Linked DNA regions of Caenorhabditis elegans. The protein of the gene in region 1 purifies or fractionates together with the protein of each later gene. This does not show direct contact. Each region holds a gene or a part of one and is shown on either strand. Other genes may lie near its edges.

The links. Proteins that work in one complex are often made in the same cells at the same time.
Region 2: the proteins of mek-1 (region 1) and shc-1 purify together in Caenorhabditis elegans (affinity purification with western blotting; 2 studies listed by BioGRID). This does not show direct contact.

What each region holds. Positions count from the first base shown.
Region 1 is NC_003284.9:7,477,570-7,481,535, forward strand, and holds mek-1 (Dual specificity mitogen-activated protein kinase kinase mek-1), read left to right. Parts: upstream 1-1,678; 5' UTR 1,679-1,686; coding exon 1,687-1,870; intron 1,871-1,919; coding exon 1,920-2,152; intron 2,153-2,202; coding exon 2,203-2,346; intron 2,347-2,401; coding exon 2,402-2,713; exon of another isoform or gene 2,714-2,839; coding exon 2,840-3,010; 3' UTR 3,011-3,436; downstream 3,437-3,966. Other genes in the region: F48E3.9 (Trichohyalin), read left to right, coding at 3,902-3,920. UniProt on the Caenorhabditis elegans protein: Dual specificity protein kinase which may phosphorylate kgb-1 and thereby is an essential component of the JNK pathway composed of mlk-1, mek-1 and kgb-1. May also have a synergistic role with sek-1 in phosphorylating pmk-1.
Region 2 is NC_003279.8:968,556-975,133, forward strand, and holds shc-1 (SHC-transforming protein homolog 1), read right to left. Parts: upstream 4,579-6,578; 5' UTR 4,498-4,578; coding exon 4,432-4,497; intron 4,383-4,431; coding exon 4,312-4,382; exon of another isoform or gene 4,166-4,311; coding exon 4,093-4,165; intron 3,532-4,092; exon of another isoform or gene 3,396-3,531; coding exon 2,905-3,395; intron 1,429-2,904; coding exon 1,338-1,428; intron 1,284-1,337; coding exon 1,125-1,283; 3' UTR 778-1,124; coding exon of another isoform or gene 682-777; 3' UTR 533-681; downstream 1-532. Other genes in the region: cutl-20 (ZP domain-containing protein), read right to left, coding at 682-777. UniProt on the Caenorhabditis elegans protein: Scaffold protein which plays an important role in the activation of the JNK pathway composed of mlk-1, mek-1 and kgb-1; by bringing together mek-1 and mlk-1, promotes mlk-1-mediated phosphorylation and activation of mek-1 which in turn phosphorylates kgb-1.

The DNA.
Region 1 (3,966 bases):
AGGATGAAAGCGCAATTATCGATTCCTCTCCGCTCCTACGCTCTCTGTGTTCAGCGCAATTGCTCTGACCAGTTTTTTTTTGTTCTATTCTCTATATCTAGAAACATTAAGCATTAATTCAACATATCATGAACCATCAAGATTTGACATAATTTTGATAATTTTCCATCAACTCAGTCGCCGACAAACAAGTTAGAGGCTCCCAACTCTGCACCTTGTGAGATGAGTCATGCAACAACTGGTCCATATCTGATTTAGTGTAACGACCACAATGCCACGATGACTAGGCTTGATTCTGCATTTGTTATTTATGGAATTCAAGACATTTTGAGATTTTTGCATTTGGTGTTCTAGCATTTATCTGACTAATTAAAATCAGAAAATGTTTTCACCTCGTTGTTTTTCAGAATTTGACTTTCCACATTTTCCAGCACCGCTTTTAAATATAAAAAAAAATAGTTTTTATTTATTTGATTGGGTCTCCTCATTTATTAGAAAAAATGTCGAAATTCTTGTTTGCGTCTTCTCAAATACATACAATAGTATTCTCAATGTTATCTCCTAATTTCGAAATCGATGGTTTCTCAATTACGAAATATTAGGAATTTTCCCACTTTCCGCGACACTATTATTTGCCTTTTTTAACCGCAATTCGATTACATTATTAGTGGTAAACAATCTTTTCTCTGAATTTCCAACGTTTTTTTTGTTTTACAAAAGAAACTATATAATAGTTGCTGTCCTCACATGATGATCAATGTTTTTTATCATTATCAATCAGAAAAGTCCCAGCTTTTCTTGACTTTTCCTTCAGAAATTATCATATCACAATTTGTTTGTTTTCTTTTTCTCTCTAACACTCTTACTCTATTCACTCAACAGTTCAATGCCGGAAATTCAAAATAACCAAATCGTTTTGACATAAACTTCAGTTCAAAGTTGACCTATCGCAAAAACAGGTCGAAAACAAAAAAAAATGGGGAACGGACCGCCAATGTTTTGAAACGGAAGGGGGGTGCGCACGCGGTCGCGTCGCGTGCCCGGTGTTTCAACGTAACTCTTGCACTTATTTACGCAGTGTGTCTCACTTGTGTGTGTGTGTGCCGTTCGTTTTTTCTCTCCCTTCCCTCCTCCCTCGCCGCATTGGAATTGCGACGGCGTCAATGCGGTCTTGCCGCTTTTCGAGACATTTTTGCTGCTGTGATGCCATGTTTTCACCATGATGTAATGCAATTTAATCCTCATGGCAAGAATGAAAAGTAGTTCAAAACGTTGCCTTTCTCGTTTTGGCAGCAGCTCTTTCTCATTTGATCCCCTCGTCGTATAAGCTAATACGCTTTTTGTTTTCAGCTGCTATATTCAGCCAACACAAAAGGCAAGAGCCTTTCCATTGACGTAAACGAGGCTTGTTTGCAACAACATCATGCATTCTAATTTCGTACATGAACTTTTCGAAAGTGCATTGAGATGAGAGTAATGATGAGAGCAAAGACATTTTCTTATAACTTCCCCTATTATTTATATGTATAGCCACTCTCATTCTTAGAAATGCTAGTGCACTTCTTTTCGTGCCCCAACAATTTATATTTTCATCCTAGAAATATAAATTCAAAATTTTGATTCTTCCTGATATTTCTTTATCTCTTTTTTTCTCTGTACTAAAAATAATAATTTTAAGGTGAAAAGATGGAGAGAGACTTCGACCTTGGCATGGGCAGACCTGGCGGGCTCGGAGGACTTGGTGGTGAACCGATCATGCAACAAATGCCACAGCCAGCGCCTCATCATCCATCCCGTAGTAGTAACGACCACAATGTGAAGAACCTCATGAAGCAGGCCGAGGAGAACTCCGGATATCTCACATTGCAAGGTAATTTGGCTAAATAAATAATCTTGAAACGGTAACAATTGATTTTTAGGTAACCGTCGTAAAGCTGACTTGAAGGAGCTTCAGTTCGTGGAAGATATTGGTCATGGAAGCTGCGGTACGGTCACAAAGTGCAGATACAAGAGTGTGATCATGGCTGTGAAGACGATGCCTCGGACGTCAAACAGTTATGAAATGTCCCGCATTTTGATGGATCTTGACGTCATCTGTCTCTCTTTCGACTGTCCGTACATTGTACGTTGCTTCGGATACTTCATCACCAACGTAAGAATTTTTATGAATTCTTTGACTTTTCCAATTATCATTTTTTTCAGTTCGACGTCCGTGTCTGCATGGAGTGCATGGCTACTTGCCTTGACCGTCTGCTTATCCGCATCAAGCAGCCAATTCCAGAGAGAATTATTGGAAAGTTGAGTGTGAGCATCATTAAAGCTCTGCACTACTTGAAAACCAAGCACGTAAGTTTATAAATCAGATGAACCATTTGGACAATATATAATCCGATTTTTTTAGCAAATCATGCACCGTGATGTGAAGCCATCAAACATTCTCCTCGACTGGAGTGGCGTCATCAAGCTTTGCGATTTCGGTATTGCTGGCAGACTGATCGAGTCTCGTGCTCATTCGAAGCAAGCCGGATGCCCTCTGTACATGGGTCCTGAGCGCCTCGACCCCAACAACTTTGACTCGTATGACATTCGCAGTGACGTGTGGTCTTTTGGTGTTACTTTGGTCGAGCTGGCAACCGGACAGTACCCATACGCCGGAACCGAATTCGACATGATGTCCAAGATTCTCAATGACGAGCCACCGCGCCTGGATCCGGTATGTGCTCTTCGTAAAAAATTCATCTAGAAAAAGCTTTTAAGAGCTACCAGTAGACATAATATATGCTTTATGGCGGCTAGAAACAGTACACAACTAGTATTTATGTATTTTACAATTTTACAGGCCAAATTCTCTCCGGACTTCTGTCAACTCGTCGAGAGCTGCCTGCAGCGTGATCCAACGATGCGTCCCAATTACGATATGCTCCTCCAGCATCCGTTTGTCGTGCATCACGAGAAAATTGAAACCGACGTCGAGGAGTGGTTTGCCGATGTGATGGGCGAGTGCGGATAATTGTCGAATTACAAACGTATTGTTATTTCCCAAATCATTTGTAAAAACTATCAATCCCATTCACTATCTCTTTCATAACATTTCCTGGTCTAGCATTCATGGTGCAAAGTTTTTCAATTTTGCTTTTTTACCTTATTTACCCTATTTACCACTTTTACCCTATTTTCACTTGTTCTCGTTCCCGTTGTCTCTATCAAAAATTCCCAACCTCTCTCACCGAATCCCTGTCTACCAAACTTGAATGTTCCGGATGTATAGTATCATTGTAGGCCTAATTGATTGTATATTTTGATTATGATATGTCTCAAAGTTAAGCCATCCACAGCTAGTCTTCTCGTCAGAGATTACTGTGGACATTAAAATTGTGATTCAAATTGTTCAACGGATATTGTTGTAATCTTATATATTTAAATACAGTCTATGGACCGTTCGTTTTTTTACAAGTTTTGAACGAAGCGTTACAGAAAGAAGTAATCAAATTCCAGATCTGTAGAAACTAGCGAGTTAACAGGTAATCGGAACTATGGTGTCTTGAACAATATTTGAAAGTATTCGAAATAGTGTACATATTTTGTGAAACTAAATACTATCAAACGATATCCTACTCAACTCTGAAATGTTCATACAGTGTATTAACACCTGCGCGACAACGCTTCACCTCTCTCATTTAAATGAATCCAAATGATTAGTCGCTGGAGATTATTAGGATATGCTACTAACGGAGCTTTTAAATAATGGCGGGTTCTCCCTACCCGCGTCACCATAGAAACCGAGCGGACTCGTGCCGGCTGGTGTTCTCCCTTCGTCCGCCTTCCGCGACTCAACTCATTTCCGTGTCTCCTCTAATATTTTCCAACGACCACATCTATATCTATTGCTTATCTCCAATAAATGTCGTTGGCAATTAAAGGTAGGTATTTTTATAGGTATTGTTTATTTGGTAGTTTAAGCAATTT
Region 2 (6,578 bases), on another chromosome or scaffold:
TCTTCCATTAAATGCCCTTCAAATTCGCTTTTTCGAGAGTTTAAGAGAGTTTCTAGGCCGAGGAACTTCTTGCAGCCAAATTTCTAAACTATTGTGTTTTTGCCAAAAACAATGAAACATTTTAGGTCATTTGTGACGTCATATTTTTTCCATGCAACTTTTTATTGGCTCCACACATCTTCCAAAAAGCCTAAGCCTGAGCCTAATCCAATGTCTAAGCTTAAGCCTAAGGTTCAGCCTAAGCCTACGCCTAAGCCCAAACCAAAGCCTAAGCCTAAGCCTAAGCTCAAGCCTAAGCCTAAGCCTAAAAAAAACCGGAAAATCCTAAGCCTAAATAGCGTCAGTAGCAAGCTAACGCTCGCCACTGACGCCAAACCTAAGTCTCGGCTTAAGCCAAAGCCTAAGCCTAAGCCTAAACCCATGATTAAGCCCAATCCTAAGCCTACGCCTAAGCTTGAACCTAAGCCTAAGCCTAAGCCTAAGCCTAAACCCAAGCCTAAAATTTCTAGGCCACCACTAATATTTTCAAAACTCGATTCTCAAATACTTCATTTTTTCAGGATATGAAAGTAGGACAGAAATGGGCAGGGTATATGGTATGGAGCAAATATCACAAGATGGCAGAAACATAGATACGGGGTGGGAGTGTTGGACTAGGTGACTTTTCTAGGCCATCCCTACCTTATCACACGCAATAGAAGTGTCCACAATGGCCACCGATCGAATCAGCGGTGGCAGCACCACAACCACCGACCAAATGATCCAGTGCAGAATCATAAATTTGTGGAGGGAAAAATCGATAACAGTAGTGAGGGTAATAGTAGTAATAATACAAATATATATGGAAAAATGAATACAAAAAGATGTGTGCGCTGGTTGGGGTGGTGGCGTAAGAATACAGGTGGGTGGGGGGTATAATTGGAGCGTGGCCGAGGAGGAGAATCGCAAAAAAAAGAAGGAAAGAAAGAGGATAGTAATGACATGTTACGGTAGAAGGACAACTACCTAATTATATGAAAGAGGGGGGGGGGGCGACGAGAAGAGGAAAAAGTCTTACGCAATTTGCTACTCGACTTTCAATTTCTGCTAGAAATCGAAAAAAAAATAGGAAACAAATTCCGACTCTATTCGATATCATCACTTCCGGGGCACGGCACAGGTCGGATCAGATTCAACGACGTCTCGCGATCCCGACCCTCTGATCTTACGGCCATCCCATTGTTCACATGATAGTCGATGAGCTCGGAGATGTTGCTGAACGTGCGATCGCGGGTTCGGACTCTCTGGAATTTTGAGAGGTTTGAAGGTTTGGCGGGGGGGGGGGGGGAGGGTCTTACGTTGTGATTGTCCAGTAGGATGAGATGTTTGTGCTCGTTTTCAGCGGTTCGGCCACTCAGCACGTACTTGCCGGGCGTGTGGTCGCTTTGTCTGCAAGGAACTGGACAAGTTTGAGCGGCCGACAGCTTGCGGGTCTTTTTTTAGAGAAGGGGGACTGTGAGGTGTCCGCTGCTTCAGACAATCTTAGCATCATGCAAACCTTGCATCTTTTGTATTTCAGGAAAAAAAACGCAGAATTTTTTTTGAACAAAAATTTCAGCCTAAAACAAAAATCTAAAAAAATTTTGGGAGGATGAACTTATTATACCAAATTTTTCCCTGGTCTTTCAAGAATTATTTAAAGTCCCGTGGCTTCTGAACATATTATCAAACAAATTACAGATATGAAATGTGACTGAAGCTTTAAGTCAGAAATATATAAAAAAAGGATTTTTCATACTATTTTTTCAGTCAAATTTGATTTTTTTAGACTTTCAGATTTTTCTACGAAGTCTGTTAAAATAGGCTTATATTAAAAAGCTATCCGATTTACTATTAGTAAAAAATTATAGCGACCGACATCTCGCAGGTTGTTAAAGAAAGGTGCATTGACCGGCTCACGCAACTTTGGCAGTTTATATCTCGGCTGGTTTTGGTTTTATTTAAAAAATTTCAATTGACGAAATATTTATCACTTTTTCTACTAAAAGTTTGCAGTTGAACACTTTTTGCTAGCAGCGATATTAACCGAGATATTAGCGGAAAAAGTTACATGAGAAACATGGTGCATCGACAAGAAATATCTCACAAAACTTTGGCAGGTTATATCTCGGCTGGTTGTGGTTTTATTAAAAAATTGTTAATTAACAAAATGTTTATCCTTTTTTCTACTACAACTTTGCAGTTCAACACTTTTTGCTAGCAGCGATATAAACTGAGATATGATTGGAAAAAGTTACATGAGAAACATGGTGCATCGACAAGAAATATCTCACAAAACTTTGGCAGGTTATATCTCGGCTGGTTGTGGTTTTATTGAAAAATTGTTAATTGACAAAATATTTATCCTTTTTTCTTCTACAACTTTGCAGATGAACACTTTTTGCTAGCAGCGATATAAACCGAGATATGATTGGAAAAAGTTACATGGAAGACATGATGCATTGATCAGCTATCATAGCTCATATTTTACTTATCTCAGGTTTTACCAAAAAATTGCCAATTATTAAAACATTAGCCTTTTTCTTCGAAAATCAAATTTTGCCCGAATTGCCGAAAATATAGATTTGATATTTTTTTGTAGATTTAGGAGCCTAAACATTTTTTAATTTTTTAAGTATTGACCGTTTGCTTTTAAAAATGACTAATCGAATACTGAAAACACAGTTAACTTTTTTTTCAATTTTCGAATTATAATTAGGTTTGAAAATTGCCGAAAATGTCGGCATTCAGTTGGAATTTTGGCAATTGCCGAAAATTTCCGATTCCCACGCGCCCCTGGTGTGAACCTAGTGAGCATGAAGCCAAACGTTTTAGAAATTCAGCAAAATTCTAGCTTTTTTCTATAAAAAATCTAAAAAACCTTACCGAACCAAAAAATCGCCTTCCGTCTTCAACAAAGCCTGTGCATCCTCTCTGGATAAATTTCCATGATACCAAACTTTCCCCACAACATCCTCAGTTACAGTAGGTGCTCGGCAATTCGACACAAATGACTGTCGATGCAGGGAACTTCGATGTCTCATCGGCGGCGCCGGCACCGTAAATCCATCGTTAGAAGTTGAAGCATTCGCCTGTGCATCAAAAGTGTTCACATTGATCGCAGTGGTAAGGACGTCGATGAGCTTGTGCACATCCTCGATGAACACCACGTGGCATCGACGATCCGTTCCATCCTTGTTTTTTGCAATGTAGCCGAACATTAGCTCCGTGTCCGTACCCTTTTGGCCTTGGGCTCCGAATGAGAAGAATGAGAAGGGATGACGTTGAATTAGACGACTTTGTTTTATGATTTTGATCATTTTCGAGGAAATGTTGATGTCTACGGGGAAGTTTTCTTTTTTCACTTCACCGATTACCTGAAAATAAGGATGGTTTACCTGGGCTTTTTCATCGACCCGTGAAGTGTCGGCTGCAATAATTTTAGTCGAAATTAGTGATAATAACTTTTCTATGAATAGCGGCTGACATCATTTAGCGCGATTTTTGATCGACCTGTAAGATGTCGGTTGCTTTAGTACATTCTATAGTGGCAGGCTTTTGGCTGAATTTTACTGGATATATAAGCTATCAAAATTTGAGCATGTCGATGCACCATGTAATTATCTCAGTTTATTTCGCTGCTATCAAAAAGTGTTAAAATGCAAAGTTGTAGTAGAAAAAACGATAAATATTTTGTCAATTGACACTTTTTCAAAAAAAAACCAAAACCAGCAGAGATATAAGTAGTCAAAGTTGAGTCAGATATTTCCAGTCGATGCACCATGTAACCTTTCTCTAATAACCTGTGAGATGTCGGTTGCTATAATTTTTTAGTCATTAATTTGGACAGCTTGTTAATTTGAAATAATTCTTGATGATATCGTAGCGCGGCCGACATTTCACGGGTCCTTTTTTTTAAACATTTTGCAAAGCTGGTCATGCATTTTTGGTAACACTTAATATCAAATTAATGAGAAAATGTTTTGTAAATTTTTACCATTAGCCATGCCCAGAAAATGGCAAGTTTTTTATTTTATTTTCTTTTGTTTTTTTAATTCACAAAAAAAAACTCACCCTACTAACAACTGGATTGATTTCTCGAGCCGCAGTCACGCCAACAGTAGCTGCAACGTGTTGTATACATTCTCTGAAAATTGAACAGTTACTTTATTACGTAGATTTTTTATATATTTGAGCTTGCAGATGTTACCTGCCTTCATGCCTGCCTACCGCCTGATTTCTAAATTTTTGAATAAGATTTTTTTTTGATTTTAAGCCATAAGAAAAACTAACGAAACAACTTGAACTCTCATCTCGGAAACCATCACGTTAATTGACTCGACTACTGGAACACTTCCGAGGTACTGAAAGACAATTTTATATTTTCGGGGAAAAAACTAATAAAAAACTCACAGTAGCCGACAGAGAAACCCCGCTGCTCCGCAGCTCCTCTGCAAATGAGGGCTCCACGTTGAGCATCGCCGCAAGTTGATTTTTCGACGGAATTTTTGATTATTTTTAGAAAAAATCTAACTCGAAATTCGTTACAACCGAAATTTTGCAAGATTGAGTGAATGAGGAATGACCGGGAGAGAAACGGAGACGCAGGCGGTGAGCGGAGTGGGAGAGAGAGCGCGCGAGACGGAGAGGCGCAGGCAGTGGTAGGGAGGAGACAGGGAAAGATTAGATTGGTGTTGACTGGGTGAGTCAGCATTCTAATAAGTTAAGTTGACTCATAACTTTGTTTTTTGATCAGAGGGGGGGGGGGGGGGCCGTGGCCTAGAAATATCATTGCCTACTTATTACGTCACTAATGGTCTAGGAAACCTTGATAGCTTTTTTGGAGAAGATATGACGTCATTGGTGGACTAGAAATCTTATTTTAGTTCTGGAAGAGAAATATTTTGACCGTGGAAGACAAATTAATGATGTGACCGGTGGCCTAGAAGTTTCAAATTATACCTGGGGAAATAAATGACGCCACTGGTGGCCTAGAAAACTTAAACTATGCCTGAAGACGTCACCGGTGACCTAGAAATTTAATTCTGGCGACGTCATAGAAATTTGAATTTTGATGAGAAATATAATTTTATTGGTTTTCTGAAAATTGAATTTTATTGATTTTTTGGCAACCGGGAAATTGGAAAATTTAATAAATTGAACAAATGCAATAAAATAAGCAGTTTTTCAACAGTCATTACTTTTTTCCGTGAACCGTTTTGATTTTAATTTGTAAATCTAGGTCGGAAAAGTCACACACACCGAGGAGCTAGGCTTCCCTCATCCTCCCTGGATCAGTCGGTAACTGCTTCGACTGGGGAGTGGGAGTGGGAGGGGTGGGATGAGTTCAATTCTTCTGGAATTCCATAATTTTTATTTTTGTTTTTTTGCGCCTACATATACCTGTGAAAATTGGAACTCGACACAAAAACCTCTCTAGCGCGGCTTAAATTTACTTCAATTCTTCCGGAATTCCATAATTTTTATTTTTGTTTTTTTGCGCCTACATATACCTGTGAAAATTGGAACTCGACACAAAAACCTCTCTAGCGCGGCTTAAATTTACTTCAATTCTTCCGGAATTCCATAATTTTTATTTTTGTTTTTTTGCGCCTACATATACCTGTGAAAATTGGAACTCGACACAAAAACCTCTCTAGCGCGGCTTAAATTTACTTTCCTGTCCCAAAAACTCATCTATAATATTTTTAAAAAATCTAGAATCCAAATCTATCAGATTTTTTTGAATTTTTGATTTTTTTCACATCGAGATTCGGAATCAGCGGAAAATTTGGAGTCAATTAAAAATATTTTCCAGATTTCGATACTCCACATTTAAAGGAGATCACCTGAAACGCCAGAATATGATACTTCATACTCTCCATCTTCTCGCTTTTGAAAATAATCAAAAAAAATAGTCGCCGTATTTATTGATATAGAAAAAATACCAACAAAATTGTAACTATTGATTAGCCATACAGGGTCTTTAAAGTCAACATTCATAGTGGGAGCTGGAAATAAAAATATATAATAACTTGTTAAAAGAATTTATTGTGGAGTTATAACACCTATAGACAATTAAAATCACCTGCTGCCTAAAGAGTATTTACCAGAAGCAAAGGTTTTCTGAATTTAGTGGAGTTTGTCCATTTACTTTTTTGCATGTTATTGAATTGAAATGATACATAGTGAAACTAGAGGTAAAATTATTTACTAGGTTTAGGCTTAGGCTCAGGATTAGGCTTAAGCTTAGGCTTAGTTTTAGGTTTAAGCTTAGGCTTAGAATTACCGATAACTGATAACTTTTGCAAATTTAGTTTCTGTAATATCGGCAATAGCCAAAATTGCCGGAAATTTCTGCGATTCGAATAAATAAATTGAAATAAAAATTAGTTCCTAAGATACATGTTATCTTTTTGCAGGAAAGTAGTAAACTCATGAAATGAGAAATTGCGATGAGGAAGGAAACATTCCTATGGTTCCTTAGACAATTTCTCACCTTACATTAGTATATAATATATAAATGATGAATTTGACTTTTTGAAATTCTCTTCAATAAA